Rattus norvegicus: one gene and its partners. The protein of the gene in region 1 interacts with the protein of each later gene in a biochemical or structural test. Links are inferred from orthologs where the notes say so. Each region holds a gene or a part of one and is shown in the gene's direction. Other genes may lie near its edges.

The links.
Region 2: the proteins of Patj (region 1) and Cldn1 form a complex in vitro, tested with the Homo sapiens proteins (2 studies listed by BioGRID and IntAct, with this or other methods). The link is inferred for Rattus norvegicus from reciprocal best matches to the Homo sapiens genes PATJ and CLDN1.
Region 3: the proteins of Patj (region 1) and Tjp3 form a complex in vitro, tested with the Homo sapiens proteins (2 studies listed by BioGRID and IntAct, with this or other methods). The link is inferred for Rattus norvegicus from reciprocal best matches to the Homo sapiens genes PATJ and TJP3.
Region 4: the proteins of Patj (region 1) and Tanc1 interact in a test that uses a peptide from one of them, tested with the Homo sapiens proteins (2 studies listed by IntAct, with this or other methods). The link is inferred for Rattus norvegicus from reciprocal best matches to the Homo sapiens genes PATJ and TANC1.

Annotation. Positions count from the first base shown.
Region 1 is NC_086023.1:118,174,440-118,182,489, forward strand, and holds the start of Patj (inaD-like protein), read left to right. Parts: upstream 1-3,183; 5' UTR 3,184-3,258; intron 3,259-8,050.
Region 2 is NC_086029.1:87,930,633-87,938,191, forward strand, and holds part of Cldn1 (claudin-1), read left to right. Parts: intron 1-4,481; coding exon 4,482-4,646; intron 4,647-6,641; coding exon 6,642-6,726; intron 6,727-7,559.
Region 3 is NC_086025.1:9,081,186-9,089,498, forward strand, and holds the start of Tjp3 (tight junction protein ZO-3), read left to right. Parts: upstream 1-3,238; 5' UTR 3,239-3,382; coding exon 3,383-3,388; coding exon of another isoform or gene 3,389-3,400; intron 3,401-5,201; coding exon 5,202-5,258; intron 5,259-5,337; coding exon 5,338-5,447; intron 5,448-5,958; coding exon 5,959-6,061; intron 6,062-7,445; coding exon 7,446-7,773; intron 7,774-8,038; coding exon 8,039-8,142; intron 8,143-8,313. UniProt on the Homo sapiens protein: TJP1, TJP2, and TJP3 are closely related scaffolding proteins that link tight junction (TJ) transmembrane proteins such as claudins, junctional adhesion molecules, and occludin to the actin cytoskeleton.
Region 4 is NC_086021.1:64,505,042-64,513,184, forward strand, and holds the start of Tanc1 (protein TANC1), read left to right. Parts: upstream 1-2,995; 5' UTR 2,996-3,198; intron 3,199-8,143. UniProt on the Homo sapiens protein: May be a scaffold component in the postsynaptic density.

The DNA of each region.
Region 1 (8,050 bases):
AACCTGGAATTATGAGCCAAAAAAACTCTGTCTTATAGTGCTTTTAAACAGAGAGAGAGAGAGAGAGAGAGAGAGAGAGAGAGAGAGAGAGAGAGAGAGAGAGGATGAAGAAGAGGAGGAGGAGGAGGGGAGAGGGGAGAGAGGGGAGAGGGGAGAGGAGAGAAGAGAGAAGAAGAGAGAAGAGAGCTCTTGCAGGGTCTCACTATGTAGCTCTGGCTGGCCTGGAACCATCTTGAGCTCACCAAGATCTTCCTCCTAAGTTGCTAGTGTCAGAGTATTTTATCACAGCAGTAATGCAGACTTTGTCAATGAGACACACATCACTGTTAGGCCCCAACCTTTCCTTTCATGCTCATCCTCAAGATCACACATTAACCCCACAGTATAAAATATTTTACCAATTTAAAAATCCCCCCCTCTGTCTTGACAAATTCAATCTCTTTAAAAATCCAAGTCTCTCTTAAAACCTAAAATTTCTTTAAATTTAATCTCTCAACTGTAAGCTCCCGTCCAATCAAAAATATGATAAATACCCCCTTGCTTCAACAAGGCAGAACCAGGGCAGAGTCGCAATGCACACAAAGCCAAGCCAAACTCCAACTGTATAAATAATTCAGTGTCCAGTGCCTGGAATCCACTCATGATCTGCTGGTCCCTTTCCAGGCTTTGGGTCACTTCTCCAGCTCTGCCCTCTGCAGCACACACATCTTGTCTTGTAGGCTCCAGCTGACTCCACTCCGCTGCTGCTGCTGTTCTAGTGGCCATCCCATGGGACTGGCATCTCTACACTGCTGGGGTCTTCAGCTACAACTGGGCTGCACTTTCAACTAATAACCTCTGCTAGGTTCTTTTCACAGTGCCCAGGCTCAAGTTCTCTGCACGACTAGTCCTCAATCCTGGACCTTCAATGCCACTGTGGGTGCACCTTCACCAAGGTCATCTCCTTGGCATTGAGAAAACACTTCCCGAACAGTTTTAACCTTAATGATGCTGGTCTCTTCTTTATTACTGCTAATTCCTCAGCTCCAGCTAACCTGCATTAATTATCCTCGAAAGGCAAAGGTTTCACTTTACTAATTCTGGTTATCTTGTTAAACACAGCCAATTCTTCTTCACCCCCAGCTAACCAGAACCTTAGTTCAAAGTAACAAATGGCTCCTGGTAGTCTTTAAACCTCCCTGAAACTTCACAATCCAGGCCTCCTCGTTCTGCCTTGTCCTCAACATTCCTGTCTTTTAAGATCCTGCAGAACAGCTCACCACAAACTGAACACTCAGTGGCTTTTCTTACACCAATTTCTAAAGTCCTTCCACAAATCTCTCCTGAAGCAACATTGTCAGGGCTGTCGCAGCAACACCCCATTTCCGGTACCAGTTTTTTCTTAATGTGGGTTTCTATTGCTGAGATAAAACACCATGGCCAAAAAGCAAGCTGGGAAGGAAAGGGTTTAATTGGCTTACACTTCCATATTGAAGATGTTCAACACTAAAGGAAACCATGATAGGAACTCAAACAGGTCAAGAACCTGAAGGCAGGAGTTGATGCAGAAGCCATGGAGAGGTGTTGCTTACTGATTTGCTCAGCCTGCTTTTTTATGGAACCCAGGACCACCAGTCACAGTGGGTGGAGCCCTCCCTCATCAATCACTAATTAAGAAAATGCTCTAATAGCTGGATCTTATGGAGGCATTCTCTCAAGTGGGGTTCCCCCCTTTCAGCTTGTGCCAAGCTGCCCTAAGACAAGGCAGCACACATGGGAAAGTAAGCTAAGATTCCGGGGTATGTTTTCTCTGTTTTTGCTATTGTGAATGGGGTTACTTTCTTGATTTCATTCTTACCAAGCCCATTATTTGTTATCAAAAGCTATTGGGTTCCAAATTTTATTCATCTATTTTGCATTTCTTTTTGAGACAAGGTAAGTCCTGATATGTACTTCAGTAGTCCAGGCTGGCCTGAACTCACTATGTACCTTAGTCTGATTTTGAACTCACAGCAATTCTCGTGTGTGTGTGTGTGTGTGTGTGTGTGTGTGTGTGTGTGTGTGTGTGTGTGAGAGAGAGAGAGAGAGAGAGAGAGAGAGGGCATGGGGCACTGGGGGAATTTGGAGCTCAAAGAACAACTTGCTGTAGTTGGTTTGAACTTTTCACTATATGGCTTCCTGGGCTAGAACTTGAACACCGGTGATCAGGATTGGGCAGTACCTACCTTTATCTATCCCCTGAGTCATCTTGCCCAGTCATCTTTGACTTTCTATCTTTAATCTTTAGTATTTATATTTAATATTTAACATCCACAAACGACATTTTACTTGCTTGCTTATTAGTGTACCCTTTATTTCTTAGTGTTTTTTGAGACAGGGAATCGCAATACTACTTGAAACTCCAGAGCACAGGGATTAGAGGTGTGCACCAACACCCAGCATGACCCTTTGTTTGCTTCGGCTTAAGTTTCCAATAGTATGTTGAACAGGATAGGTGAAAACGGACATTTCCATTTTATTCCTTATGTGTGTGTGTGTGTGGGGGGGGGGGTTACACACCTTTTTACAAGGCCTAAAAATTTTATTTCCCTGAAATTAGCACACAGCCATAAAGTATCAAACGCATAACCGGCGAACGTCCTCATGTTGCTGTTGCTTGTATGTACTCATCTTTCGAGGATACCATTTTACCTCTCATCCCCGTCAGTCACAGAGCTTAATAGTGCACTTATTCAGTAAGATATCTGATGATTGATTCTCTTTAGCCTTGAGTAGTCTGTATTAGATAATGTAAATGCTTATCATCAACATTCTAAATAAGAAAAAAAAAAGACACTCATAATTACCCTTAGGACGATGGGGACACAGATTGACATTTAGGATATTTTACGTTGAGTCAGCGCATCTGGAAAACATAAGGGACGCAAGAAGGCTGGAACAGAGGGGCCTCGGGCTAGGCTAGGGGCTAAGTGAACTTGTCTGTTTGGGGTCTCGGTTTTGGGTCAGCGCCGGTGGCTCACAACTCCGCACCTGGCCGCAAGGCCTCAGGCCGCCTCACCAGGATTGGTAGCCCCACTCACCCCCGGAACTTTTACAGGCGCGCAGACGCCCAGGGGCTAGAGCCCCGCTCGCCCCGCCCAGCCTCTGGCGAGGTGGAGAGACGCCCAGGTGAGGAGGCCGCCACACTTCCGTCCAGGTGAGGGCAGCAGCTGTACTTCCGCCAGGTGAGGAGGCCGTGATCGCAGCCTCGGGGCTCCCACCCGGCTGTCGCCTGATCAGGTAACGCTCGCGGCGCACTGTGCGGGGGCCGCGCGGAAGCCGTGTCCCGAGCCCGCGGAGGGTGCGCTGGGCAGCTCGCAGGCCTTGGCGGCGGCCGGCGACCAGGCCAATCAGCCCCGCTCGAACTTCCAGGCCCACCCGGCCTGCGAGCTCAGCGATCGCGCGTGCTCGGGGATCTAGCTCCCGCGGCCTCCCGGAGCGGGGCGGAGCCTCTGCGCGGTTGGTGGGAGGGAGCGGAGGGAGCGGAGGGACCGACGTGACCGACGTGGCCTCGAGTGGGCCTTGCGCCCCTCCGGCCTTTCTGCTTAGCTAGGGAGGTGTCTCTCAGTCTGGGAAAGTTACTGGATTCCTCCCTGGAATCAAGTTCTGGAGAGCATTTCCACATCTTTCCCACCTTTCGAATGCCCCACCCCTCCCTGGAATCTTCCCTGGACTTGTACTTTGCCTCCTGTCGGCTCTTACCACTTCTGATTCGAATTCCTCAAGTGACTTGTTTGTCTCCGAAGTTCAGAGGCCACACCTTGCTGGGCCTGATTTCTCTAGATTGCCTCTAACTTGCATCTGACCTGTGGGCTCACCGTAGTGTCCAGCGATTGTGTTTTCAGTGAAGAAGTTTACCTAGAATAATCTCGGTTCCTTTGAGACAGCTAGACCACATTCCAGGTCTACTAGCCTTCCCCTAACTTCGAATTCACTGTTTCAAGGAGAAGCTAAGCGAATTAGCTTAGAATTAGAAAATAGGAGGTGAAGTCATGACCTTTTGCTGTTCTAAGGGCCTAACGGCTTTTGTAAGAATTAATGAAGTTTTTAAGATACTTTGAACGTTTATAAATGCAGATGTGGAGGTACCCACACTAATTTAGATGCAATTACTGGTGGTGTATAGTGGACTTGTCATCAGAAGAAGGATTTGATTTAAAATTGAGTTGTATGCTGTCACTCGAATTGAACCTAGTCTCAATAAATTCCACCTATTATTATTGTCTGGTGGTGAGGGGGATCTAATCTAGTAACACACACACACACACACACACACACACACAGACAGACACACACTCTGACTAGATGTGTCCTGTCCCCTGAGATCCCCTGCAGCCATTGAGCTTGTATGGAGTGAACATAAATTCACTGTAGGGGAAACAAGAGAATTTTCGAAAAGGGAATAAAGCAAAACAGTTGACAGGAAAATTAGAGGAGGACTTGCTGTGACGGTGGGATAAGAGGGGGGGGACAGGGGTGGGTCTGTGTGCATGTGGAAATGACCTGAAGTATCTCTCTGAAATTGTCAAAGAATTAAAAGAAGGAAAAAAGGATCTAGCAGCAACCATAAAACCCATTTCACTGATGACAAAAAGTAAACAAGTACAAGTCACACGACTCCTTTCTTCCACTTTGTAATTTTAAATATAAAAATGCCTATGTTTTCTTAAAATGAGTTCGATTTTAAAACCTTGAACTTTTGAGACAGCCCAGCATTTCCCTGTCCTTACAGCTGGGTTTAATAATCATTTGTACATCAAACAGCCAAGCAGTCTGAACTTGCTTGCTCTGTTAAAGTTTTAACAAAATCGCATTAGTTTGGGGGAAGTCACAAAAGGGGTTAGTTCCTTGAAGTCTCTTCTGGTATTGGTGCGAGCATTAAATTCTTGGAGAAAACAAGCTAGTCTCCTTTAATATTTGAAATCACATAACCAATGATACTTAATTTTTTTCTTTTTTTGTTAAAGATTTATTATATATAAGCACACCGATGCTGTCTTCAGACACACCAGAAGAGGGCATCAGATCTCATTATAGATGGTTGTGAGCCACCATGTGGTTGCTGGGGATTTGAACTCAGGACCTCTGGAAGGGCAGTCAGTGCCCTTAACCACTGAGCCATCTCTTCAGCCCCTTAATTTTTTTTCTTACACTGGGATTTTATGTAGACTTGGATGCCTTTTGGAGCTCCCTGCGTATTCTGTTGCAAATGGAAGGGAATGTAGTGCTTGCATTCGTTTGTGTGTGTTTATTGGTGCTGAGGTCGGAAAGCCAGGGCCTTGCACATGCTAAGCCCTTGCTCTACCAACAGACGATACGTTTTTAGTGAGCTGAATGGAAACTGCTGAGGACCTAGTAGAGTTTAAGGATAGGTGCTGATCTACTTCCGACCTGGAGAGTGGTCTGTGCTGGTCCTCAGTTTGGAAATGATCTGCCAGAGATTGGAAAAGGCTGAAAGGAAACAGTTCTAGGATTTGTCTTGTCTGTCGCAGCAAGCAATTGTTCCCCCACTTGCCTCTGCTCAGATGGAATCAGGAAGAACTCAAGCCTGTAAGCATTCGTATTTGAATAGTCAGAAACTGAGCCAAGAAGCAAAAGTCTTTGCTAAAAACATTGCCAAACTCTTTCTGGAAAAGTCTAGGTTAATAGGTCAGTGGTACTTGGTTGCCGAAGCACCGGCACAAGTGAAATGGGCTCTTTGGAATGACCGTAAGTGTGGAATGCACACGAGACTCTGAAGACAGTGTGAAAAAGTTTAAGCTATTCTATTTCACATTATTTGCATATTTAAGTGATGATTTGTATATATTGGATTAAGTAAGTTACATATTAAAGTTAAATTTGTCTTTTTTAAAATTATTTTTTATGTTTTTAATTTGTTTTTCTGTTTTATGTGCATTGGTGTTTTGTACACATGTGTGTAAGGTCCACTGGAACTGGAGTTATAGACAGTTGTAAGTTGCCTTGTGGGTCTTCCTGTCTCTGCCTCCTGAGTGCAGGGAATCAAAGATGTGAATACCAGTTCTCTGGAACAACAGCTAGTACTCTTAACTACTGAACTATCTCTCCAACCCTAATTTTTTTCCTTTATATGATGCTATCAGAAACATTATTGTTGTTGTTTTTTAGGTTTTGATTTTTTTTTTTTTTTCGGAGCTGAGGACCCAATCCAGGGCCTTGCGCTTGCTAGGCAAGCGCTCTACCACTGAGCTAAATCCCCAACCCCTTATGTTTTGATTTTTAAAATAGGGTTTTTCCATATAGCCCTGGCTGTCCTGGAACTCAGAGATGCGCCTGCCTCTGCCTCCTCTGAGATTAAAAGGCCTCCATCACCACTGCCTGGCCCTTTTTATTATTTTTAAATTACATGTATGTGTGGTTATGTGCAAATGCCTGTGCAGGGATACCAGAACGGAGCCTTGACATGGGCTCTGGGAACCGAATCTGGATCTTCTGTAAGAACAGTGTTCACACTTAACTGGTCAGCCATCTCTCCAGCCCTTGCAGAAATTTAAAAATTGCATTTGTGGCTCACATTCTATTTCTGAGGGAAGATACTGAGGTAAAGACTTGTGTTTGAAACAGTAGCCTCAAATTCACCCTCCTCTTGCCATAGAATGTTGGGTACAATTATATACCACCATGCTGGCTTTAAACTGGCTTAAAATCCCAATTTATAGGCTGGGCACGGTGGCACACATCTCTGGCACTGGGAAGGCAGAGACAGGAGGATATCTGAGTTCCAGGCCAGGCTGGTCTGTGTAGCTAGTTCTGTACCAACCTGGGCTACATGGTAAGACTCTGACTCAAAACAAAATGATATATAATGCCTTTTCTTGATCACTTGTTGAACACTAATTTCACTGATGAAAGGTTATATTGTTCAGTCTTTTCAGCATTGATAACATAGCAAAACCACAAACGACATTAACTTCTTTGCAGTTTCAAAATGTCATGTAATTTTGATTGAAAAGAGATGCTAACAGTAATAATCTTTGTTGAGAGTGTGTTGTGTGCTAGGGCAAATTTTATTTAGTCCTCCCAACAATTAGTTATTTTAAAAGATCCTTTTCTGAAATCTTTTTTTTTTCTTCCTCTCAAACTTTTACTAACTTTGGAAGGAAAGGGAGATGAGGTAAATGAATGATGAGGGTTAGTTAGGGTGCACCCAGCTTGAGTTCACGTTGAAATGTTTTCTTATTAGTTATTTGCCCCAGAGGTCATAAGGTGTTTCCTCCCCTATGGCTTCTATTGTTCCTCTGTTTTCATGTTTTTCCATAGCATTGTCCCCTCTCGTGTTTTAATTTAGTTTTTTGGATTTATGAACTACAGGCGATAAGACATCAGTTAGATAATGTTATACAGAATGGCTGTGTGTTGTATAGAATAGATGTCAAAATAGTTAATTCAGCAGCGACAAGTTTGTTCTCGTTCTCTCTCTCTCTCTCTCTCTCACATCTCTCTCTCTCTCACATCTCTCTCTCATTTTTCTTTTATTCTTTTTTTTTTTTTTTTTTTTGGTTCTTTTTTTCGGAGCTGGGGACCGAACCCAGGGCCTTGCGCTTCCTAGGCAAGCGCTCTACCACTGAGCTAAATCCCCAACCCCTTTTTCTTTTATTCTTTGAAGGGTTGAGATATATAGAGTCTTCCTCTGTAGCCCAAGCACTCTCAGTGTGATTTGGGTTAGCCTGACCCTCTTAGCAATCCTTCTACTTCAGCCTGCATGTGTTTGAATCAAGGAGAATAGACATTGGTGGGTAGAGTGTTCGAAACCTAAGACGGCCTTGCTTGTTAGTACACTAGCTTGTTTGGAATTTCAAAATATGGTATGACCATAATTCCTGGAGACTCGTGATGGAAACAGGAAAGCATTGAAGCGGTAGGTGTCGTTAGTGGATTCTGACCATTCAGGTCCTTTTAGTGGGGGACCGTGATTACAGCATCTATTAAAAAGGTGCCAGAGATGTAAAGTGTGGAAATTGTTGAGACTTGTTGCTGTTGTTGCTTGGGGTGGGGGGGGGAGGCTGTCATG
Region 2 (7,559 bases), on another chromosome or scaffold:
TGTGAGGGCAGAAATACCATTAAAATCTGGCTTGCCCAGGATATACAGAATGGTCATGGCCCATAGTATGGGGCATGTACAGTGCCAGGTACTTATGGGGAGCCTCCTGCTTGGTGAGCCTGTCTTTAAAGTTTGGAGAGAAAAAGGAAATCCCCTGCCTGTCTATGCTTGTCTTTGCAAACTTTGATTAAAATAACTGTACTAGAAGTCTACTGTCTAACTCATTTCTTGTCTTATAAGAAGGGATCTTTGTAAGTATTTTTTTTTAATTATACTTTCATGTTGAGAGTGATGAGGACTCCTCAGGGGGTCTTTAAGCTGCAGATTTTCAATCTGGCTGAGCTTTATTAAAAGGCTGCCTTCCTGTTTACTGCTGGGTAACTTTCAGGAACCCTAATGTAACTTTTGCAGTATTTGCTAACTCCCTTCTCCACATGCAGCTTTATTTAGAATGTTATAAAACTGGCTACAAATGTAAAGAGAGAAGAAAGAAATGTAAGCGCTCCTGGGGGAGGTACAAGAATACGTGGATGTATTTCTGCTCTAAATATTGTTTTATAACACTCATGCTTTGCTATCAAGTTCTATGCTCTGCCTTCCTCACTCTGCTGAGAGAGAAAGCAAGAGAATCCCCATCGAAAGAGTTCATTGAAGACAGAACTTTATTTAAATGCTATCAAGTTAAGGGGAAAGTGCCATTTTTCCCCTCTGCAAGTATGTATTTCTAGCATTTTTGTAACCCAATTTCAGCCTAGGTTGATGTAACAAAACTTTAGCAACCCTGGTCCCTGAAAGGAGGTGTTTATCTCCTTTCAAAGATGTAGCTAAACACAATTGTGTGATTTTTTTTTTCTGTCACATTATTGCCAGTTTTGAGGAGCAAGCCACCTGTCTGGTCCAAGGTCACTGAGAACACATTGAATGACTTGGACACATGGTCAGGAAGTAGGAACAGTTCTTCAGTCTGATACCACTCCAGTGCAGCCATCTAACAGCTCAGAAGTAGATAATCCATGGCTCTGACTGGAATGGCTTCCACAAGACCTTCAGTGGAAAAAATTAAGCGAGTCCAGATGAAAGCTCTGGTTTAGAATGGATCTTTACCCAAAACTATGACAAAGAGTAGTTTCTTAGTCTGACCTGTAATCCAGAGTTACATGTGCCCAGCTAGTAAGTTTTCTTGCTTACAATCTTCCACCATTGTCTATGGTGTGCAGAAAAGCTTGCATTATTTTGTGTACTCCCTACACATGTCATTACGGTTAGACATTGTGCAATGTCTCCCTTTGATGCCAGTCTAATATAAGGCAGAAGATAATTCATAACTTAGTGGCTTCCAGGTGTAAATGGAAAATGTTGCTCGTCAAAACAACATTCTTATTCTGAACTGCTTTGCCATGGTTTAAATGGAAACAAGGCTCCCAGTCTCTAAGATTTTGTGCTTACAAAGTATATTGTCCATTGACTCCACATCTGTGTGTTAGACAAATGATACCATTCTATAAGGAAATGAAGCATTGTGGGGTTGTTAGCCAGCCTGCGACAGAATATCTGTCATTTCTCCTTAACTTTGCAAAAGTAGTTAATAAGAAAGGGGAGGCATGAAGCACAAATGCCTTCTTCATCATTTAAAGGTAAAACGTTTGTGAATAGTCGGTGATTGTCAGGAACATCCATAGGCTATACCTGGGTGCTTCTTTTTAAACCTGATTTATGAGTCTGGTGTTCATGGGGCTTCTGAAGAATGCCTTGTGCACATGCTCAGACCTGTGGCACTAGTGGCCTGTGTTGTGACTTCGTGAGTGGGTTGGAATGATTATATGAACTAAGTCTAATGGAAGCTGAATAACAAGGACAACATCCAGAGAGATCAAAGACACCAACAGAAGTCATTCATAGGGAGCTGATGAATGAATGGCAACAAAATAAAGGGAAGGTGTGGAAGACAGAAGAGGCTATACATGCTTGTGAAAGGCTACCATGTCATTAATGCTTTCTAATTACATTGTTTCTACACTAAGAGTAAACTCAGGTCACTCTGCCTTAGAATCCTCCAATGACTTCTCATTACATTTGGGATAGACTTTGAACTCCTGACTAATGTGTGTGTGTGTGTGTGTGTGTGTGTGTGTGTGTGTGTGTGTGTGTGAGTTTGGGTATGTGTGAATGTGTATGTACACACATTTATGTAATATATACATATATGTACATATACACATACATATATATGCCTTCTGCCAACCTTGTTAAACTTCAATTCGCTTCCTACCATTTGTCATTTATCTATAGAATAGCCAGTTGGCCCACTTTACTCAGAACCCGGGACCTTCTTAGGATGCTAGACTTTTACTTAAAATATGGAGCATCCTTGACAATCTGGCAGGAATGGTCACCCTCTCCTCCAGGCACATAGATCCTGTCATTGCCTGAAACATCTTCCCAAAATGCTTTCTACCTGAGCAAACTGTCAAATCTGTTTTGTAAGAGCATAATTATTTAGTTGTTGAATTTACTGAGAGAAACAGCGGCCCTCCATGTACTACTGATAACTCCGAAGGAAGTGCCCACCTTAGCTGGGCGTCCTCGAGACTTTCCTCTTTAAACCACAGCATGGTTTGTGACCCCAAGGAAAGTTTTCTAATGGTCACGTGAGCAGCTTCCCTTCCTAGTAAAGCCATGGGCCATGGAACATGGCTCTGATCCAGCAGTTCCTTCCCTACCCTGGAGCTCTGTGATCAGTGTGCAAGAGAGATGTGCATATGCTTGTTGCACATTTATGAGCAGATGAGTGTGGCAGAGGAGAGAGTGTACAGTTTAGTATTTTGATGAAAAAGTAAAAGTGGCTTCCAAATATCACTGAAATGATGTGAAAAGACATTTGATACTGCTTAGAAAGGCAGTGTGCTTCTGTCATATACACGTAATAGCAAGGATAGAAATGGCTGTAAGTTAAAATGTAGTGGCATTCCACACAGGTTTGTTTGGGGTGGGTGGGTGAGGGAACACCCTCATAGAAGCTGGGGGAGATATGGGGAAGGGGAAACCAGGAAAGGGGATGGCATTTGAAATGTAAATAAAAAATATCCAATAAAGAAAAACAAAAAACAAAAACAAAAGATTGGTAACTTAACTAGTCAATCTTGAGCATCGGAAGATTAATCCTGTGCGTGTACTAAACACTGTGCCGATCATCATCTTGTCAGTCCTGAAGACCAGAAAGGAGCAAACTGTTCCAACTCCCTGGATAGAAAAGTTGTCCCTCATATTTTACAAAATACAAATATAGTCCCTAAGAGAAGTAAGTCGTTTCCCTAAGATCTCATTCCTTGCAATGTTAATGTCTCCGTATAAAAACTTGCATTAAGGGGGCAAGACGTTCAGTTTAAACAGGAAATGATTTATAATTTAAACATCGTCTAAGCAGGGTGCGCGTGCGCGCACACACACACACACACACACACACACACACACACACACACACACACACACACACACACTATTGTTATACCATGATGCTGGCTTTCAGTTTTTGTTCTTTAGGAAACACATTGGCACTGTCTCTCAAATCTGATCCTGTCCCTGGTGATAATTTAACACAACAAAGATGCGAAAGAGGCCTTTAGAAAATTTGCAGAAACCCAAGAAATAAGAGTTGGGGTTATGGATGGGGATTTAGCTCAGTAGTAGAGCGCTTGCCTAGCAAGCGCAAGGTCCTGGGTTCGGTCCCCAGCTCTGAAAAAGAAAGAAAGAAAGAAGGAAAGAAAGAAAGAAAGAGAAAGAAGAAAAGAAAGAAAGAAAGAAAGAAAGAAAAAAAGAAAAAAAGAAAAAAAGAGTTGGGGTTATCCCCAACTTTATGCACCATGATGCTTTTGTGGTTTTAAAACCTCGTGTTATCATCTTCTATGAATCTATTGCCATGCTCCAAGTTGCCTTCTTAAATTTTGCCCTAGCATCAATGTTCTAGAAGTTGTACCCGTCCCCCAGCCAACCTCTTTTAACTAGGGATAAAATATTGCTTATCTAGCCATGATCATCTCTGAAAAAGTCACTTGCTTATTTCTAGTAACTTGTTCTTTCTGAAGCCTAAAGACTGTAGTCTAAAACTGGCGACTGGTAATGAATATGTATTTTAAGTCATCGAATTACAAATAACGAACATTAATATGTATGACTTCAGAATCCAAGTACCCAGTGATAATGATTACATATTCAATTCACTGATACCTATTTAACTGATACATTAATAACTTTCCGGCTGATTTTGGATTTCATAACCACAGTACCAGCCATCCTCCACTCTCTGTATCTTCCTAGCAACCATCCCAGTGGCAAGACCAGAAATGTCACTAGAGTCCGTTTTCCTTTGGACACCTTGTTCACTTTGATCCCTCTCCAAAAATACTAAAATGTATTTCATCTCCCATCACTCTCCTCTGACACTCTAGACATGGTTTTTACATGTCTTAAATGTTTCCCACCAGGTACTTTGCAGGCAACCAGAGCCTTGATGGTAATTGGCATCCTGCTGGGGCTGATCGCAATCTTTGTGTCCACCATTGGCATGAAGTGCATGAGGTGCTTAGAAGATGATGAAGTGCAAAAGATGTGGATGGCTGTCATCGGGGGCATAATATTTGTAATTTCAGGTAAGAGAGGCTCCTCCTTCTCCCTTGTCTGCTTTTCTCAAGTGTGGTTTGAAATCTAGCTTTCTGATTTTTAGTTTCTTTGGTTTGTATTTGAATCACCGAATCTGAAAATTTCTCAAGTATTTTAATATCTGAAGACATGAGCCTTACAGTCAGTTGGCTTTCGTCTTCTCAGTTAGAACCAATGGAAATTAGACCTCTGTACACTTCTGTCAAGGACAACCATGAAGGATTCAGGTGCCTACTAGATTCTTGGCCCAGTCTATTCAGACTAAGAAAGATTTTTTTTTATACTTTGCAAAAGAGTCTGGATCAATTTGATGTGATTCAGAAAATGCTATTTGGTTGTAATGGTGCCTGGCTGTGATCCTAGCATAAGAAAGGTGAAGACAGGGAATGTAGAGTTCAAGGCCAGCCTCAAGAAAATATACATAACATGTGGATGTTATTGGTTTGGGATTGGAGCTAGTGGAGAAAGCTGGGGGGAGGTAACATTGTAGATGGACAGAGTAATTTCACAATAAACACTATGTACCCATGGACCAGAGAAAAGGTACGTCAGTGGGGTACTGATGGGATATTAACAAGGTAGGATGTAAAGTCAGCTGAGCTAAGGAAGAAAACAGTACAGAAGGATTGGAAAGCTTCAGACGAAATAAGCCAGGTGTCGCGCAGAAAACACATATTACAAAAATGGCATCAAAGGCTATAGTCTCTTACAACACCCATCCCTGTGCTTTCCATAAGTGCTGTAGACATACATGTGTCCCAGTTCAAGCTGGGATGGTTTCAGAAATCTAGGTGACCGGTTCAAGAGCACGTGCATGATCAATTTGCACGGTCAACCTGGATGATCTTACATACTGTCAAGTACTATAAAAGAAGTTATTTGTTTTCTTTTTAAATTTGTTTCAGATTTGACAGTTTTCCACGCATTTTTTATATAAATTATATATAATTGCTCGGATACTGTTTTTCTGGTAATAACACTTTACATCCACTCTCTGGCATTTTTTATTGTTTTTTTGGGGGGAGGTAGTTTTAAGATAGGGTTTCTCTGTATAGCTCTGGATGTCCTAGAACTCAGTCTGTATTCCAGGCTTGCTTTGAACTTACACAGAACAGCTCGTCTCTGTCTCCCAAGTGCTGGGATTAAAAGTGTGGGGCACCACTGCCTGCCTTCTTTCTAGCATTACTTAGTCACCATATTGTACAAGAAAGCTCTTGATCTTAATCTTACATTCTCCTTGAAAGTTTGAATCTTTGGACAAACATCTCTTTGGATAAAAATAAACGTTATAATTTAGGCATCAGAGAGATGTTGACTGAGTGATGACGACCAACTCATTTCCTTTCATTTATTGAATACAAAAATACCATGCGCGATTGAGTTCGGCTACATAAGTCAACCCAGAGTGTCACCTCAGCAGATGATCCCAGTAGTAAGGATTGCCTTAGACCCGGGGAAAGAGGAATCTGAATGCTCTGCGCCCTATGCTAGTTAGCCAGCTCTGGTTTTGCTGCTAGAGAGGAAAGTAAAATCTGATTTTGAGTTTGTCAAGAAGAATGTAGGAAGATTTTCATCTTACATTTGGTAAGCAGTTCTCTGCTGATATAAACATTTATTTTTTTTCAAAAGTAGTTTCATACACTAAACTACAGTCCTGCAAACCACTGGCCAAGATTTTGAATAAGATGGATCTATCCGGCTCCTTCTGAGTAACAGTTTTTGTGCCAGTGGCCTTGGACTATAAATAAATAAGATGTCATAAACAGTATAATCTAGGCCCAACTTCAGTCTAATGTCTTTGTAACTCCTTGCAGAATGGTTGGCATAAATCATATCTAAGTCAAATTGATTTCCATAATAATAAAATAAAATGTCAGCACTGTTGATGAGATTCAATTCTTATAGAATACAATTAGGTTTAATAGTCCTTGTTTTTGTGCTTAGTTTTCCTCAGTGATTAATGGTCTTGCTTTGAATTTCTGCAGGTCTGGCGACATTAGTGGCCACAGCATGGTATGGAAATAGAATTGTTCAAGAATTCTATGACCCCATGACCCCTGTCAATGCCAGGTAATTCTAGTCATGCATAAAATAGTTCATTCTCTGAAAAAAACCAATCCTTTCTGTGTTCTGCAGACTCCTGCCAGTGCCTTAGTTTCTCAGAATTGCTTTCAAGAATTGTATGGAAATTTATGTCAAACTTGCAAACAATTTAAATGACCTGTGACTCATGTTAAAATGAATTGGATAATTGCTTTAACAGCTAGGACCGATGACAAAATGCACTTCAAAGGAGAAATGTTCTAAGCTGGATGCTAGCCAGCAATATATCACAGCTTTTATTTATTCCCCAATATGAACAAAAACGCTAACGCGTTGGCCATGTTCTTCCTGAACTGTATTCTGATGTTTCTATATCTAATACCTGTGATTGTTCCAAACTAATATACAGATTCAGGACTTATGGGAAAAAACCTGTACCACCATAGTGGTCAAGAACAATGCTTCATTCCCCGTAATTTCCACATGAAGCCAGAATATATTTTTCTAGTACACTTAAAAGCCACTTTAAAATTTTGGGTTCCATTACAGCTCTGAAATGGACTTGACAAAGGTCACCTTTCTTAACAGTTCAAGTTTTACAAGTTCAGGACCTGAGTAACAATGTTCTTTGACCAGCGACAAGACTTACTGTCTCACTGTCTTCCCATCTTTAAAGCTTAATAACTACATTCAATGCTAGAATGTGAGGACATAATTACTGTTTGTGAGTGCCAGGGTGAGTGAATGGAAGAAGTTGCAGTGTTTGCAGAGGTAAGTGCGTGCCTTTTTGTACAGTCACCCACATACGGAACACAGGCTGAGGTGGTTGTTGGAGTCTAGCCCAACCTGTATGATGTGTG
Region 3 (8,313 bases), on another chromosome or scaffold:
AGTCAGATTGGAAGCCGTGTTTTGCAGAAAGGGAAACTGAGGCAAGGAGCCTTTGTGGTCTTGGTCGGCCTATCTCCTGGGCGTCCCCTGTTCTTTACTTTGCTCTACTGTGTACTTTGTGGTGATGAGCATCCACAGCTCAGAGGCCTGGACCTCATTGTGCAGTATGGGTTCCTCTAGAACTGATAGCAATCCTCCTGCCCCAGCGCTCCCCTCCTGAGCGCCACCACTCCTAGCTAGTTACAAAGTCTTTTATTAGTAGTGCATGTGGTGCATGTCCATGAATGCTCACGGACCGTGGACACAGGGGACAGGTTTCCGTTGCTTCTCTCCTTCATGGTGGGCAGTTCAATGAATTCTCCCTGGCTTCCTCCTCCCCCGGGTCAGTGTGAGCTCCATTGTGCCCCACGGCCTTTGCACAGGCCACGCCTCCTTCCTCCACTGAATCTTCCTGGCCCTCTGGCTCCCTCACCTTACTGTCCGGACCTAGATCCCTACCTCTCCTTTGCCCGCTGGCGCAGCCTTTTTTGTCCCTTCTCTTCAGAGCAGGGCCTGCTCCTCCCTCCTTGAAGACCCAGCAGTGTACACCATTGGAGTTGGAGCATTCCTGAATTCCGGTCAGACCTGTCCTGCCACACCTGAGGGGACATCACACCCTTCAGTGACCCCCGACTCCACCCCATCCCACAACCTCAAGCCCTGCCCTTCGCGCATGCCTCAGTTTCCCCAGATGTATGAGAATAGGCAAGCAGAGTCGTAGTTTCCCATTCTATACGCCCTTTCTGGCCTGCAGACATTGCCCTTTCCCGGCTGGCATCGGTACTGCAGCCCTGGGATGCACGCCTGTCTGGGATGCATCTGCTTCACCGCCTGTGCTCGCCCACCCCTAGGGGCGGTTGGAGAGTTTCTTTAATTCATAATCTCTAAACAAGTATTTATTCGTGTGTGCATACGTGCATATGCCGTAGCGTGAGGAGGTCAGAACTCATGCGGATTGGTGCTTTCTATTCTGTGCGGTCTGGGGACCGCACTCAGGACAGCAAGCCCCCCTCCCTAACAACTGTTTCACAGGACACTGAACAAGGTAGTCCTCAGGATTGGTCCCAGGTACTATGGAGGTTGAGGCAGGAGGATTGTGAGTTCCAGGACAGCTTAGGCTACAGGTGAGGCCCAGCCTCAGAACAACAGCAGAACCTGACCTAGGTGGTCTCCTTTAATCTCTGGAATCAGGTGCAACTTCCAGATGGGAAACTGAGGCACAGTAGCTTACAAATAGACAAACCACTTCGGTGCCCTTTTTAGTCCACCTACCCACTCTGCCATGCAGAACCTAGGATTTCGTTACCTATAACGAAATACTACCCACGGAGTAGGTAGTAACTCCCCGAGGGCACACAGAGAACAGGCAAAAGACCTGAGATTGAACCCACAACCTAAGGGTCTGAGAACACACGTTTTTCCTCTTAGCACGAAGTGTGTTGGTGAGTGGGAGGAAATGTGGGGACAGGACTGTCGCCGTGGGCCCCCAGGTGCACAAGTGTTCACTGTGTAGCCCTGGCTGTCCCGGAACTCACTCTGTGCACCTTGAACTAACAAGCATCCACCTGTCTCTCCCTTCCAAATGCCGGGGCTAAAGGCAGCACCAAGACAGTGCAAAGACTTTGACTAGATTGTCTTGGCCAACTCTTTTTCTTTTCTTTTTTTTTTTTTTTTTTTTTTTTTCCGGAGCTGGGGACCGAACCCAGGGCAAGTGCTAGGCAAGCGCTCTACCACTGAGCTAAATCCCCAGCCCCTTCTTGGCCAACTCTTGATTAGCCTTCAGAACCGCTCCAGCATGCCCATTCCAGAACTCTAATTTAGACACTCCCTCACTCCCTCTAGCTGTGAGGTGACAACTGGAGGCTGCTACTAAGCCCTTTGACCTTGGGTTAGGCTGCAGATCAATATTTACTAGTGAGGAATGTATGGGTGGAGCCAGTACTAGTCCGGCCTATTGAGGTGACTTCCTCCCACCTTGTGCCCAAGCCTAAGCTAGTCTGACTGGACCTTTCTACAGCTAACCCTCAATGGCAGGCCCTTAGAGGGAAGCAGTCTGAGTTTGATATATGAACCTGCTTGACCCGGGGTTGGGGATTTAGCTCAGTGGTAGAGCGCTTGCCTAGCAAGCGCAAGGCCCTGGGTTCGGTCCCCAGCTCTGAAAAAAAGAAAAGAAAAAGAAATAAAAATAAAAAAAAAAAATGAACCTGCTTGACCCGGGAAAGGCCAGGAACACTACTGGTTATGTTTTTGAGGAAGGGTCTCACTGTAGCCCAGGCTGGCCCAGACCTCACTATGCAGACTGGGGCTTGCCCCAAACTCAGAGATCCTCCTACTTCTGCCTCCCGAGTGCTGGGATTAAGGCTAGAAAACCGCTTTTTTTTGGGGGGGGGGGCGGGAGGACGCGTTTACTTTTTTTTTATTTTAACATTTATTTATTACACCAGAAGAGGGCATCGGACCCCATTACAGATGGTTGTGAGCCACCATGTGGTCTCTGGGAATTGAACTCAGGACCTCTGGAAGAGCAGTCAGTGCTCTTAACCTCTGAGCCATCTCTCCCCCTACCCCTCACCTCGTTTGCTCTTGTTTCTTGTGTTTGGTGTTCTGCGGATGGCTGTGAGCCATGTGGATGCAGTTCCCACGGAGGCTGCCAGGGATATCGGATCTCTGGGGCGGGCCACACAGAAGCTTGAGCAGCTACCTCTGGGTGCAGGGATTTGAACTCAGGTTCTTACACTTTCATAGCAAACCTTCCAATGCAGACACAGATCGTTCTCGTCTGGGCAAACTCTTAACCCACCTTCAGAACCCTCCCTGCAGCGCCCCTCCCTGCTCACCACACATTTGCCTCTTTGCCTTCTCACCACCTTCGCCTCCTCCCGATCCCTCGCAAAGCTTCTAACCCGCGGGCCGCCCGGGCGAACCTCGATGTGTGTTGGTACGTGGGAAGAGAAACGTCTCAGACCCGGTACTCCGTTCCTCCTGGCCGTGACCGCTCCGGGTTTTCCCGGCAGCCTCGCCCATGCGGTCCGCTACCCGGGCTGCCGGGCTCAGCCCGGCTTTGCGGGAAACCAGGACAGGATCGCGCTTGTCCGGATCGGATCGCGGCAGGGCCGGCGGCCGCTTCCCAGAGGCGTGCCGGACTGGGGCGGGGCGGCCTCCGACTTGAAGGAGGAAGAGCAGGTGCAGCCCGGAGCCGCTGGCAGAGCCGGAGAAAGGCGGGAGCGCGGCCCGGACCCCGCCGCCACCACCTCCGGCCCAAAGTGGGGGTCGGTTGTTTCCAGGCGCCTCCAGGTCCAAGGTGGGGGCTGCCCTACCGTTTCCAGGACGCCTGTTGTACACCATGGCGGTGAGATTCCAGGCGAGTTGTGCCGGGCGCGGGGAACCGGTAGTGGTCGGATGAGAATGGGACCCAGGCTTTCAAAACCCTGTCCACCTGCCTAACAGGCGGGAAAACTGAGGCCCGGAGAGGCGCGGTGGCTAGCCTACGGGTACATGGCGAGATAAATCTGTGAATTAGCCCCAAGAGCCACCTCTTGGAGCTTCCTCAGTTGCCCCACCCCACTCCCACTGAGACACTGAGGCCGCCCGTGTGTGATCTTGAAAATGAGTAGCTGTGTTTTGTTTCGTTTCTTGGCCGCTAGCATTTATTGAGCACCTACTGTGTGCAAAGAGGTCAAGGAGCCTGGCGGGTCGGATGACTGTAGCCAGTTCTGGGGACCAGGAGGAATTTTGTTCTTCTGGCGTGGAGCCCAAACTCCTACACAGGAAGAGTAAACTGAGACCTGTCTGCTGGGTCACACTCCAAGCTTTACGTCTTCGAGGTTTACTGCCAGTTTAGGAAGAAGAGGAATGACCTTCCCCCGGCCCCGCCGACAGACCTGTCTACAACCCCTCCCTACATCCCGTGCGCCTGGCCTAAGGGGAGGAGGGGCGGGTGGGGAGCCAGTGCCCCCGGGCGCATGGCTTATCTTACCCGGTCCCTTCCAGTTCGCAGGTGGCAGAGGCGGGGCCAGGCGCTCACCTGGAGGGGCGGGGCTGAGGGGCTTGGATCTAACATTTTAAACCCGCCCTCTGGTGGTTTTCAAGCTCTCCCAAAGCTCCTCACTGGGGACAGGATAAGGTCCCTAGAACCCCCATCCCAGACTACCCGGAGGGCTCAGACACAGGGAACTCTACGGAGGAAACGAGATGAGACTGTGATACCCCAGATTCCAAGGGAAGGGGGCGCCAGATGTGTACGTTGGATGGCACCTAAGCCTAGGGGCTCTAAAGGCTGAATAGGAGTTTGCCAAGGACTAAAGCTGACAGCAAGTCGCCAGGGTTGAGTGATGGAGAGGTCCGGACTTCCACAGCCAAGAGAAAGTCAGGGCCTGCGGAGCACAACTGAGAAATGCAGGAGTGGGCAGGGGTGGGGACCCAGGGGTCACATCAATCCTTAAGGCACAGGGAGTCCCAGAGGGTTTTAGACAAAGCCTGTGACCAGCCTACACCAGCTGGGACAAGCTGGGCAGGCTGGGACAAGCCTGGCCACCTGCCTCCCCTCCCCCTAAGGAGCCCAGGCACACTTGGGAAAGCCAAGAAATAAATAAAAATTTCACAGTCGAGTGCAGATAACCTTTGAGAGTGCCACCTGAAGATCTTTGCCAGGGTTTGTGGAGGTCCCCATGTGAGGAGGCTGAGGCAGGGGGATTGCCATGAGTTTATAGCTAACTTAGGCTGAGCAAGATCCCCAACCACCCAAAAGTAAACCAAAACCCAGTCATCAGAGCTGGGGGGAGGGGAACAGCTCAGCAGAGAGGGGGCCTGGCAGGTGGGGTCACATGACATTAAGAAGTCCTGAGGGTTCAGCCCTCAGGGGGGTAACCGACCATCCTTCCCAGGACTGAGAGAAGGCTCTGAAGACCTGGAAAATCTGGGCAGAAGGGAGGCTGGGATGTTGGGGAGAAGCCATGAGGCCCTTGTGCTGGAGCAAGGATAGCAAGGGGTCATAATGGGGTAAACAGGACAGAGAGGACTCTAGGGAAGACTGCGACTGTGATCCTGAGGAAGGTGGGAGCCATCGCGCCCCGAAGCTACTGAGGATGCACTGTGGAGGGTGGAGCAGGCAGTTGATGCCATGGCCTCCTCCTACCCCATGAGCCTGTCCCTGTCCCTACCAGGTGGCAGACATGGAAGAGTTGACCATCTGGGAACAGCACACAGCCACACTGTACAAGGTGAGCTGAGACCTGCCCCTCCAAAAGAGGCCCTGGGTCTGGGAAGTGTAACCCCTTGCCTGTTACCTGTGTCCCTCAGGACCCCCGCCGAGGCTTTGGCATAGCTGTGTCTGGAGGTCATGACCGAGCTGGTGGACCTGTGGTCGTGTCTGATGTGGTACCTGGAGGCCCCGCTGAGGGCAGGCTTCAGTGAGGCTCGGAGATGGCGGGTGGGAGGAGGGACAGTGGGGGAGGGGAGAAGGCACCTGGCACAGTCAGCTCTGTCAGCAGAGCCTGACTTCCTTGGCCTCATGTCCCTAACACTTCCTAGTCCCAGAGGTTGGGCAGTGCCTGAGGGCAGAATGGCAGAGAACTGAAACAGACAATCTCTGTCTGTTCTTTGAGCGCAGAGCAGTTTTCTGAGACCTGGAGATTGAGGCTCCTGGAATCTGGGTGGAAACAAACAGGTCCTAGTAACAAGAGGGTGATAAGAAATAGAGGGGGAGAAAGAGACAGACAGAGGTGGGAGAGACATGCAGAGAGACGGGGGGGGGGGGTGTGTGAGAGACATACAGAGAGATAAAGGGGGAGAGACACTCAGAGACAGACATAGAGGGGGGAGAGACATGCAGAGAGACAGAGGGACCAAGAGATAAATATCACCTGATGGCGGGAGGGGAGGGGTGCAGTCCTGAGTCTCTCACTGGAGCCACTCCCTCAGGACTGGGGACCACATCGTCATGGTGAATGGTGTCTCTGTGGAGAATGTCACATCTGCTTTTGCCATCCAGATCCTTAAGACCTGCACCAAAACAGCCAACATTGTAAGTGAACAAAGGCAGGGAAACCTTTATTATAAGTACACAGACACACCGGAAGAGGGCATCGGATCCCATTACAAATGGTTATAAGTGATGTGGTTGCTGGGATTTAAACTCAGGACCTCTGGAAGAGCAGTCAGTGCTCCTAACCTCTGAGCCATCGCTATAGCCCCTGGGGAAACTGAGTTCTAATCCAATAAGGCAGGTGATCCTGTGATATTGGAGATGGAACTACACACTTCTTTTAGAATTTTGTTTTCTGGGGGTGCTAGGGCTGGAACGCAGGACACTTAGCCTGTGCTCCACCCTGACCACGCCCCCACACCCTCACTGGGGGGATTCTAGGCGGGGCTCCACTCTTGACCACGCCCCCACACCCTCACTGGGATATTCTAAGCCTGGCTCTACTCTGGCCTCCTTCCCACATCCTCGCAGGGGGTTTTAATGCGGGCTCCGCCCTGACCACGCCCCACACCCTCACTGAGCTATTGTAGGTGGGTCCAGCTCTTTTTTTTTTTTTTTTTTGGTTCTTTTTTTCGGAGCTGGGGACCGAACCCCAGGGCCTTGCGCTTCCTAGGCAAGCGCTCTACCACTGAGCTAAATCCCCAACCCCTCCAGCTCTCTTTTTCTTTTTCTTTTTCTTTTTTTTTTTTTCTTTTTTTCGGAGCTGGGGACCGAACCCAGGGCCTTGCGCTTGCTAGGCAAGTGCTCTACCGCTGAGCTAAATCCCCAACCCCTCTTTCCCTCTTTTTATTTTTCTTAGTCTCACTCCATATTCCTGGTTGATCTTTATTTTTTCTTTCCTTTTTTTTTTTTTTTTTTCCGGAGCTGGGGACCGAACCCAGGGCCTTGCGCTTGCTAGGCAAGTGCTCTACCGCTGAGCTAAATCCCCAACCCCTATTTTTTCTTTAATGATCTATTTTATGTATGTGGGCGTTTTGTCTACATCTATCTGCGCTCCAAAAGAGATTATCTAATGTCGGGAGTTACCGACAGTTGGGAGCCACACGTGGGTGCTGGGAATCGAATTTAGGACCTCTGAAAAAGCAGCCTGTGATCTTAATGACTGTGCTATCTCTCCAACCCCGATATTTAATTTTTGATCCCGCAGTGGGGATCTCAACCCCTGTATAGTTGGAACTACTGAGCATTCTGGGATAGTTTCACTTCCCAGCGGAATCAGACTGTAGGACCTCCTGGTTTGGCTGCTGTGCTGGATGTGTGGTCCATAGTTGTGCTCCTGTCCGGACGCCTGCCTCTGAAGTCACATACTGGCCCTTTGGTGTTGGAAGCCAGAGAGGCGCTGAATCCCCTGGGGTTTTTCTGTGGGTGGGGTGATCTCTCCCCTCTTCCTGCCTCTTCTGACATAACTCCTTCTGACTGACAGACAGTGAAGCGTCCCCGAAGGGTCCAACTGCCTGCCACCAAGGCTAGCCCAGCTTCTGGCCACCAGCTCTCAGACCAGGAGGAAGCTGACCATGGCCGGGGCTATGAGGGGGACTCCTCCAGTGGCTCAGGTCGATCTTGGGGTGAGCGTTCTCGCCGGTCCAGGGCTGGTCGCCGCGTCAGGATGGGCAGCCATGGGCGCCGGAGCTCTTGTGGAGGTTCTGAGGCCAATGGTCTGGACCTGGTATCTGGCTACAAGCGCTTGCCTAAGCAGGATGTGCTAATGAGACCGCTAAAGTCCGTGCTGGTGAAACGAAGAAACAGCGAAGGTGAGTCAGGCAGGGGGTGTGGTCAGGAGTGGAATGTGTGTCTCCCCCTCCCTAGAATCCCCAGTGAAAGGACTGGGGGCGTGGTCAGGGTGGCGCCCTGCCTAGAATTCCCCCCATGAGGGACTGGGGTCGTGATCAGAAGTGGAACACTCGCCTAGATTGGTGGCTGAAGCAGGAGGATTGCAAATTACTTCAAAGCCAGCTCGAATGATCTTGGCCTCCCAGCCGAGGAGCCCTGCCTCAGTTTCCCTCCTCTACCTTCCAGAGTTTGGAGTGAAGCTAGGCAGTCAGATCTTCATAAAACACATCACAGAGTCCGGCCTCGCTGCTCGGAACCGTGGGCTGCAGGAGGGAGACCTTATCTTACAGGTGAGCCCAGGCCCTTGCTTAAGTGGGGAAACTGAGGCCAAGGAAGGCAGTGTTCCCAGCCCTAGAAATTATTTCCAGTCCTCCCCTCCCACCTTGCTCCAAGTCAAATGTTTCTAGTCACCCCTCAAGCCCATATTTTCTAGACATCCTGGTCCTTTACTTGTACCCGGT
Region 4 (8,143 bases), on another chromosome or scaffold:
TTAAAAAGCGGAGGAGAAACGAACTAACGGAGGGAGAAGAGTGAGCTCTGTGAATATTAAAAGACCCTCCTAAGGAGGAGAAGCGTGTGCTTACGTTTGGATTTCCTACCTTATTAAGTTTTAAAGTTTCATCTTGGCTTTTGTATTTAGTTTTAAAACTTAAACTTTTTTTTTACTTCTTACCGTCTGTTTTACACTACACACACCACAATAAACACTAGCTAGGATCCTAACTTAGGATTGATTTAAAATAGAAGTACTTAGGAATCTGACCAAGGGGGCGTACACTAACACTCACAAAGCACATTCTTTTCTCATGCCTTCCTCAGTCCATTGCCCTGGGCAGTAAATTGTACGGTAAAATAACCAGTTTAATACTTGCTGTTTTCTTTCGGTCTGCTGAGAAAAAGCTACATTGTTGGCAAAGTGACAGAAACTTTAAAAATGCAAGCCAGTATAACACATGTATATTTGAGGAATGTGTGTAGCAATCTACTGTTCTCTCTCTCTCTCTGTCTGTCTGTCTGTCTCTCTCTCTGTCTCTCTCTTCTTCTCCCCCTCCCTCCCCCGTCTCCTCCACCCCTGCCCCCAGTTGTTATAAACATACAAAGAATTATTGAACTTTGAAAACTGGGTTTGTGGAGAGAGACCCAAGAAAAGCAAGTAATGATTCTTTCCTTGAGCCTCCGGAAATACAAGGTTGTCGAACAACCAACTTAAAAGCACCTTTTTATTTTATTTTATTTTATTAAGGGAAAAGCAGATGTTAAGTACAAAAACTCATTGTTTGAACCTGTGCTCAGCTAATACCTTACATATTAAGATGCTTGGAAAAGTCTCCGGTTGTCCTCATATAACAGATCCTCACGAGCCCCTCCCCCATAATTTTTTCACCCATAATTTTTTTTTTTACTCTATTTATGTTTGGCCTTGACTTTTCTAACACGTATCATTCTCACCCACAGCTGAAGACACCTTTACCACATACTGTATGTAAAAGTAGCCATTTAAAGCAGGAGATCCGACTGGGCTTCATGACATGTAGTTCGGATTATATAAATACTACGGGAAGGAGGGGAAACAGGGCCCTTCTGTGTACACATCTTAGATTGCTAGCTCCCTGCCTGTGTAGAATGCTAAGCGTCCCCAAACAGGCAGGGGCGGCATTACTTCAGTGTCCTTGACTTGTGAAGCTGTAAAACCAAACCCTTTAAACCAAACGAAAGCTGATGCAAGAGGTTAGCACACTTTCTGTGCTTTCCTCTACCTGTTACTGAGGCAAGTTCGAGGGTAGAGAGGAAGACACCTAATTGCCTTGAAAGCTCAATCTAAGCATTCTTATGAACGTTTGGGAAGATAAGTAAGGATAGTTCAGGAAGGCTTTGCAAACATTCATGAATTTCATCCACTATCTACCCGTTTAAACTACTACAAACAAGCCAGAAGCAGGACTAGACCTGTTCTAAGTCTTTAGGAGTTTCTCTTACATCCCAGTCTTTCAGACTGGACGACTGAATTTTTGCCTTCTGCTTGGGTCATTGTGTCACGGTTGTAGTCTGGCTTTGTTATCTGTGGTTGAAAGACCGGTCGGTTTTACACACTGTATTTCAAGAGAAGTTAATCAAGCATCATTCTGGCTTCCAACAAGCAGGCATTGGGGGTGCAGGGGATGTCTAGAACCTTCCTGGCTTACCATAAGCCCTTACTTTCTTTGGGTATTCATGCCATGTTTTGCTTGAGTAAAGGCTAGGATACTTTCACTGCATAAATATAACTACAGCGATAATCAGGCCTTGGAATATACGACTGAAAAACACCCAGCACATTTCAGTCATCTTTCATTTATTATGGAGAGATTGAGTGGCCTCTTGCTTCCTGACGCTTTACACAGGGACTTTAAAGATGATCACTACTCCTGTAGCTATCTTTATATCGGGAAGCTCTATGTGAGGTTGAAGTTTTTATAGGGAAAGTTGTTTTAAAACAACAGTTGTCTTTAAAGGCGGGTTTGCCACAGCAAAGGTTAGGGGTTGCCAATAAACCCATTTATAGCAACTTCTGTATCCTTCACTTTCCTTACACAGATGGGTGGCCTAGGTTCAATTCCTGTTGGAATTTCCAGTTGATCCTTCTGCAAAGAAAGGGGGGTCCAAAGTGCTTTGGGAATTGAGAGGGCTGAGCCTTCTACATATAAATTGGCTGCCTGGATTGCTGGGAGGTTGTGGAGGACCCAGGTCTCCCAGTTCTCTGGGCCATTTTCAAACTTTTGTTTTGTTGGGAATAACAAAACATTTTGGGAACTAGGGGGTTTAATTTACTGCCGCCAGCCTACTTAATAATAGCATCTTTGTCTGTTCTTCCTCCAGGACTCCTCCTCCAGACAAGGAAGCTAGAAGCTGGTCAGTGGACTTAGCCCAGGCAGTACCGCCAGCCACAGAGTTCGAGGAGACAGCAGACCCCCGACCCTGGACAGTCAAATCCCAGAGCACCCGCAACCTAACAAAGGTGCAGTGGGCGAGATGCACTTTTCATCTTTCTCAGCTCATTTTGGAACAAGAAAGTGTATTTGTTTGTGTTTAGTTAAGCGAGGGGAAGAAAAGCCAACAAAGCCACCCTAAGGCATCCGCGGAAACTTCAGCTTGGCTAATTGCTCCCATATGTCCTCCTCGGATGCTTTCAGAGAGCAGCATAGACCAAGGCCGGGACACTTTACTATTTTAAACAGGCTAAAAAAGGGGGAGAGGTCTAATCACACTTCTGATCCTGTCCCACAGAGGACCAGGCGAGGCCCCAGGGGAGCAACCTCCTCCTGGGAAGCTCGGCTTCCCGCAGAGAACAAGCTGGGTGAGGAGGGGCGAAGGCGCCGAGCGGAAAGTTGGCGTGCCGCGCCCCAGCGGGTCTCAAAGCCCTGGCAGCTCGGGTCGGGAGGGGCGCGCGAGGCGCAGCCCCGGCGGGCGCGTACTGAGAAGGTGCCTTCCGGAACACGCGCAAGGGCGGGGACTCGCGCTGCCAATGAGGTCCCGGTGTGGGCCGAGCGAGGCGCGGGGACGGGCCGGAGCGCTGCCTCCGCGGTGGCAGCTGCGGGAGCCCGGCTCGGGAGCCGCAGGAGCCGCAGCCGCCGAGTGCCCAGCCCGCCGCGCTCTGAGGCCCGGCCCCCGGGGTGGGAACCGCGCCGAAAGCTGGAAACTTTCCTGGCAGGTAACTCCCGCTGTCCGGGCGCCGCTGCGGGCCTCCGGGATTCCGCAGCCGGCGGGGAAGGAAGGGTCCCGGGGAGCAGCCGGGGAAACGAGAGCGAGCCTGGTGGGAAAGTTTCGGGACGCCCCCTTCTCCGGCGGGCCCAGGGGGAGCTTTCTGGGAATCGACGCGGGCACGCCGGGGCTCCCGGCCTGGGGCGAGGCGCTGCCCGGGAGTCGGTGCAGGCCGTTTCCTGCGCTCCCGGAGGAGCGGGTTGCAGCAGAGCCGGTCTAGGGGGACACTGGGATCACGCGGCGCGCAGGACTTTCCCAGCCGCCCCTTGCCCGCCTCCTCGATCCCTTGGTTAGTCAGGGCCTGGGCTGCGTCCAACACCTGGGGGCTAGGAGTGAGGGGACTTGCAGGCGGGGCGCCTGGCACCGCGGGGTCTCGAGTGTCGCCGTGCGCGGGTCGCCAAGTTCCCGAGCGAACTTAAGCGGGGAAAATCACATCGCCCACCGTGAGCTGAAAGTGTGTGCTTCGTTCCGGCAGGCTGCGGCTCGCAGATGCAAGCCAATTTCTTTCCCTGGTGGTGGTGTTGTTGGGGTGATGATTTGGGATTAGACCTTGAGGATTTTCTTTCCCTTTTTTCTTTTAGTAGTGCCAGCTAAATGAAGGGTCCTGTCAAGTTTGCGAGTCCCCTTATCCTTGGGCGACGAGTAGTTACTTTGGAGGCATTATGGGGATTCAGGTTCTTCCTGGAAGACTTTTGGGTGTGTGTGGGGGTCCCCCGGGCTCGGCGCGGCCGCTTTCCGGAACGGCTGGCGGGGAAGGAAGCCCTGGGCATTGTGTAGCGTGTTTGCAGAAAGCAAGAGCTCAGGACTGGCGTTCCCAAAACTCACTTGACTTATTGTGTAAAGGCTCCGGGAGGAAATGCGGCTGTGGCCAGGTAAAAGAAACGCGGCGCCGCGGCCGAGCGCGGAGGACGCCGAGCTGTGACAGTCTTCAGGCTGCCTCGGCTCTGGCTTGGAAGCCCCAGATCCTTATGCCTGGAGTAGTGGAACTGGTCTGAATATAGAGTTTCCTGCAGAGTGAACTCAGGGAGGTGAGGAGGGCACCTTCATCTTGAACTTGACCCCAGGATTAGGGTCCTGGCGGGTTAAAAGGTAAAGGCAGGCAGAGTCTTAACCTGTAAAGGAGCCCAGACGCCGCTAGCTCCTGGCTCAAAATCTTTAAGGAAAGGGCTCAGGGTGTCTGAGGTCGCGAACTCTGGAAATGCCAGACTCATCAGACTACCGAAGTTAGTGTGCTGGGGGGAGGGAAGGAGAAACCTGGTTGGCTGGCACAGAGGGTTGGTTTTTTCTTTGTGGTGAAAAAGAAGGGAGTCTTGCGTCTCTGCTTACACCAGATCCGCTACTCCCCTCCACCCACAGCCCCTTCCTGGGTCATCCTTATCCTGCCAGGCTGGCACTCCTGGAATGGGGGAGGGAGGAAGAGAAGAAAGCCGTTGTGAAGTTTTTCTGGGCAGCCCGAAGGTATTTCAGATCTGCTACTGGGAAGAGTCCTGGATTTTAACAGCTGTTTTTTGATTGCTGGGAATGAAAGAATTTATGAGCGCCTGAGAGGTGCTCATTATGGTACAGTTCTGAGTGTTTTGCTCATCGGGGCTACTTAAAGAGCTCACAGGGACTTCCCTACAATCTGCAAAGTCTGTGTCAGCTGGAATGCTTGTGGGTGTCAATCAAAAAGCATCATAAATAGATCTTGGTGCTTTTACAATGAAAAGTATGCCTAGCAAAGGAAGTTTGGTGTCTGATTGCGTTCGAGACTCCTTCGTCGACCTTTCTGCTTACCAGCCAAGTTGATGATTCCAGGCTTCCCAACTACTGTGATTGGACAGCGAAGGATGGGAAATATGTCATTGATTTTGGTGGAGGTGGGAAAGTCGAGAAATAAATTGAAGGTCACTTCTATGTTTCTGTCTCCCAGTTCTGGTGCCACAAACTTTTGCTGAAACTCAAAAGGATTGATTTCTTGCTTTTTTGGTTTAACCACCAGAATGTCTAAATTATCATAATTCATGTTCATCACGGAGCTAAAACATAGCTGATTCACAGTCAGCCCTTTTTCTGCTTCCCATAGCAGCCAGAAGAACATTTTGTCTCTTTAACCACATACAATTTATTTGATGCCATAGTGGGGTTTTGGTGCCCGGTGATCGAGGACACAGTCCTAGAGACAATGGAATTGCTTTGACTAAATCATCCATTTTTAGACAACTTCTTTTCTGGGTTGCTGCTTAATTCTTTATCTCCCAGAGAACATTAAAAGCCCTGTCCCTGGGCTAGCAGAGCTATAATCCGTATTATAATGAGGTTTGCCAGAAGAGCTGGGAGGTAGTTAGGTCTGATTTCACCAGACACTTCAAACTCAATAGTAAAGATTTTATGTCTGTTAGGTCAAGAATTTCCTAGTTAGGAAAATTGGGTTAATGCTCTTGTCCAACATATATGAGGCCTTGTTGGGGGGCGAAACAAACTTTTATTTTATTTTTATCACGGAACCTTTAGTTTTAACTATGTCACCTATGGCAATAAACATGTAGAGACAAGCACACACATCTGTAAATAAATTTATAGACACACCCACAGGGGAATTGTGTTAGTCTCTAGAACGGGTTTGCTTTGACAGGGTTTCGTTTGTTTGTGTGTGTGTGTGTGAGTTTGTGAGACAGGGTCACACTATATAGGCCAGGCTGTCTTGAAACTCACTTATGTAGACCATGCTGCCCTCCAACTCACAGAGATCCGCCTGCCTCTGTTTCCCAGTGCTGGGATTAAAGGTCTGCCCCATCAAACCTGGCTCTGAACTGTCTTGTAAATACTTGTTAGTTGTAAAACTACCTCTACCCCAGTTTACAGAAGTGTTTGATCTGTAGGGCTAGTAAGTCTTTCTGGGTTTTTAGTTCTCTCACGGCCATCCCCAAAATGGAATGACATTGCAGTCCTGCGGCTTCAGGAGTTGGGGAACCCTAGGAGCTTTGGAGCCTGGGTAGAGCAGTGCAGCAGCAATCATAAAGGGCTTCACTACTTATTCTATCCCTAAACCTCTCATTTGAGCAATCCAGGGCCCAGGAAGTTAGATCAGCTTGCCTGATGTCACCTGTGACAGAGTTGAACTTGAGCCGGGCAGGTCCCTGATTCCCCATCCCGTGCCCTATATCTCTTTTGATTCACGTCAGTCACCTGTGAACTCGATAAAGCCTGACAGAAAGAATGCATGGCTGTTTCTCACAGTGCCTCATTTATGGTTATTTTGGTTCCAGAAGCCTGGGGCTTATGTCTCTGCTTTAGTAGGAAGGATTAAAGACAGCTCTTAGTAAACGGTAACTGAACATTCTCTCTGTAGGAGAGTTTGAGAAAGTCACATCCCTCCTCCTAGTCATTTGTTTACTTTCCATTTCTTAATCAAGTAGGCTTCTGGGTCTAACATGATTTATAGTTCAGATGTCTATCAACTGAAACATGAGGATGAAAACACCATTTACATGTCATCTTGGCTTTTGTCAAGCTAAGGATGAAGCCTGTCTGAATATCCCTTTCTTGGAGTCCTGCGCCCCTCCTATTGATGGGAGTATAGCCGGGTTGCGAGCCACTTTCCTTGCTACATAGGTCTTCTCTTATGCTCCTGGTTAAATGGGGGAGGGTAGTAGGTTGCCGTGATCCATTTTCACCATTTGCTGTGTTCCTGCCTGACGAGTTAGGAGTGCTAAGTGTAGCCGTACCCTGGGTCTGGAAGCTGGGCAGGATTTTTTTTTTTTTGTATTTTTGGCAGTGCTGATGGACAAACCTCGGTTTTCCAACATGATAAACACATGTTGTACCACTGAACGACAGACACCCCTTGTCTATGAGCTTTTAACACGTTCAAAAATGAAATCATATTCTAGGACACCGGCTTTTTGTTTGCAGCTTTTATTTCACTCACCATTTGGTCTTCGTGAACATGGGTGCGCATGTCACTGTGAGTGGAGGTCAGAAGACAACTTCTGGAGTTCTCTCCTTCTATCAACTGTGGGTTCTGGGAATCGAACTCAGGTTGTCAGTTCTGCACAGCAAGCCCTTTGAACCAGTGAGATAGGAACTTGTCCGTGTAAAGCATTGACTTATGGTCTTTCTGGGAGCCTAGTCTGGCTTCAGGCTGGTGATCTCCCTGCCCCAGCCTTCTGTGTGCTGAGATTGAAAGTGTGTGGCATCATTGGAGGCTTCAGACCCAGCCCTTAAAACTTACTCTCTGAGGGGTAGCGTTGGAAAGTATTTAGCAATGGTGTTTAAACTCAGAAGAAGATACATTAGTATCTGTTCACTGACTGGCCAGTCTGAGATGGTTGCCCCTTCCTGAGAAGCGAAGCAGAAGAAACAGTGGGCTGAGCAGATTTCCAGGAAGAAGGCTCTTAGCAGCATTATCTTGCCGTTAGCAAAAGGGGTTTTGGTTTCGTTTGCCTCTGTGGCTACTTTGTAGAGTGAGTGTTGTCTTTAAGGGCTTCTGTGAGGAGTGTGGGTGACGGAAGAGAATTTTCTAGAGAGAAGCATCCCACAGACACAAATGTCAAGGGCAGGACGGATGTTGCCGAGAGACAGGACACAGGCCGTGGCTTTCAGCGTGGATTCTGCCATTAGCAATGAGAGAATTTATTAGTTCCAAAGTCTCCCGGCTAATATTCATTGTAGACAGATGTGAACCAGAGTGTTCAGCCATTTAACGTAGAACCATGGTGACTCAGCACTTTCTTGCCTTACCCAGCATACCTAGGGTCACACACCTGTGGTAAATTGGCTTTCTGCCTCTGAGGTGGAGAAGAGTGGAAGAAACTGTTTAACCGTGGGTGGCCTTCTTGCACAAAGGGCACACTGAAGCAAAGACGTACATTATGTGACAGACAGTTTTAACATGTGGAAGACATGACACAAAT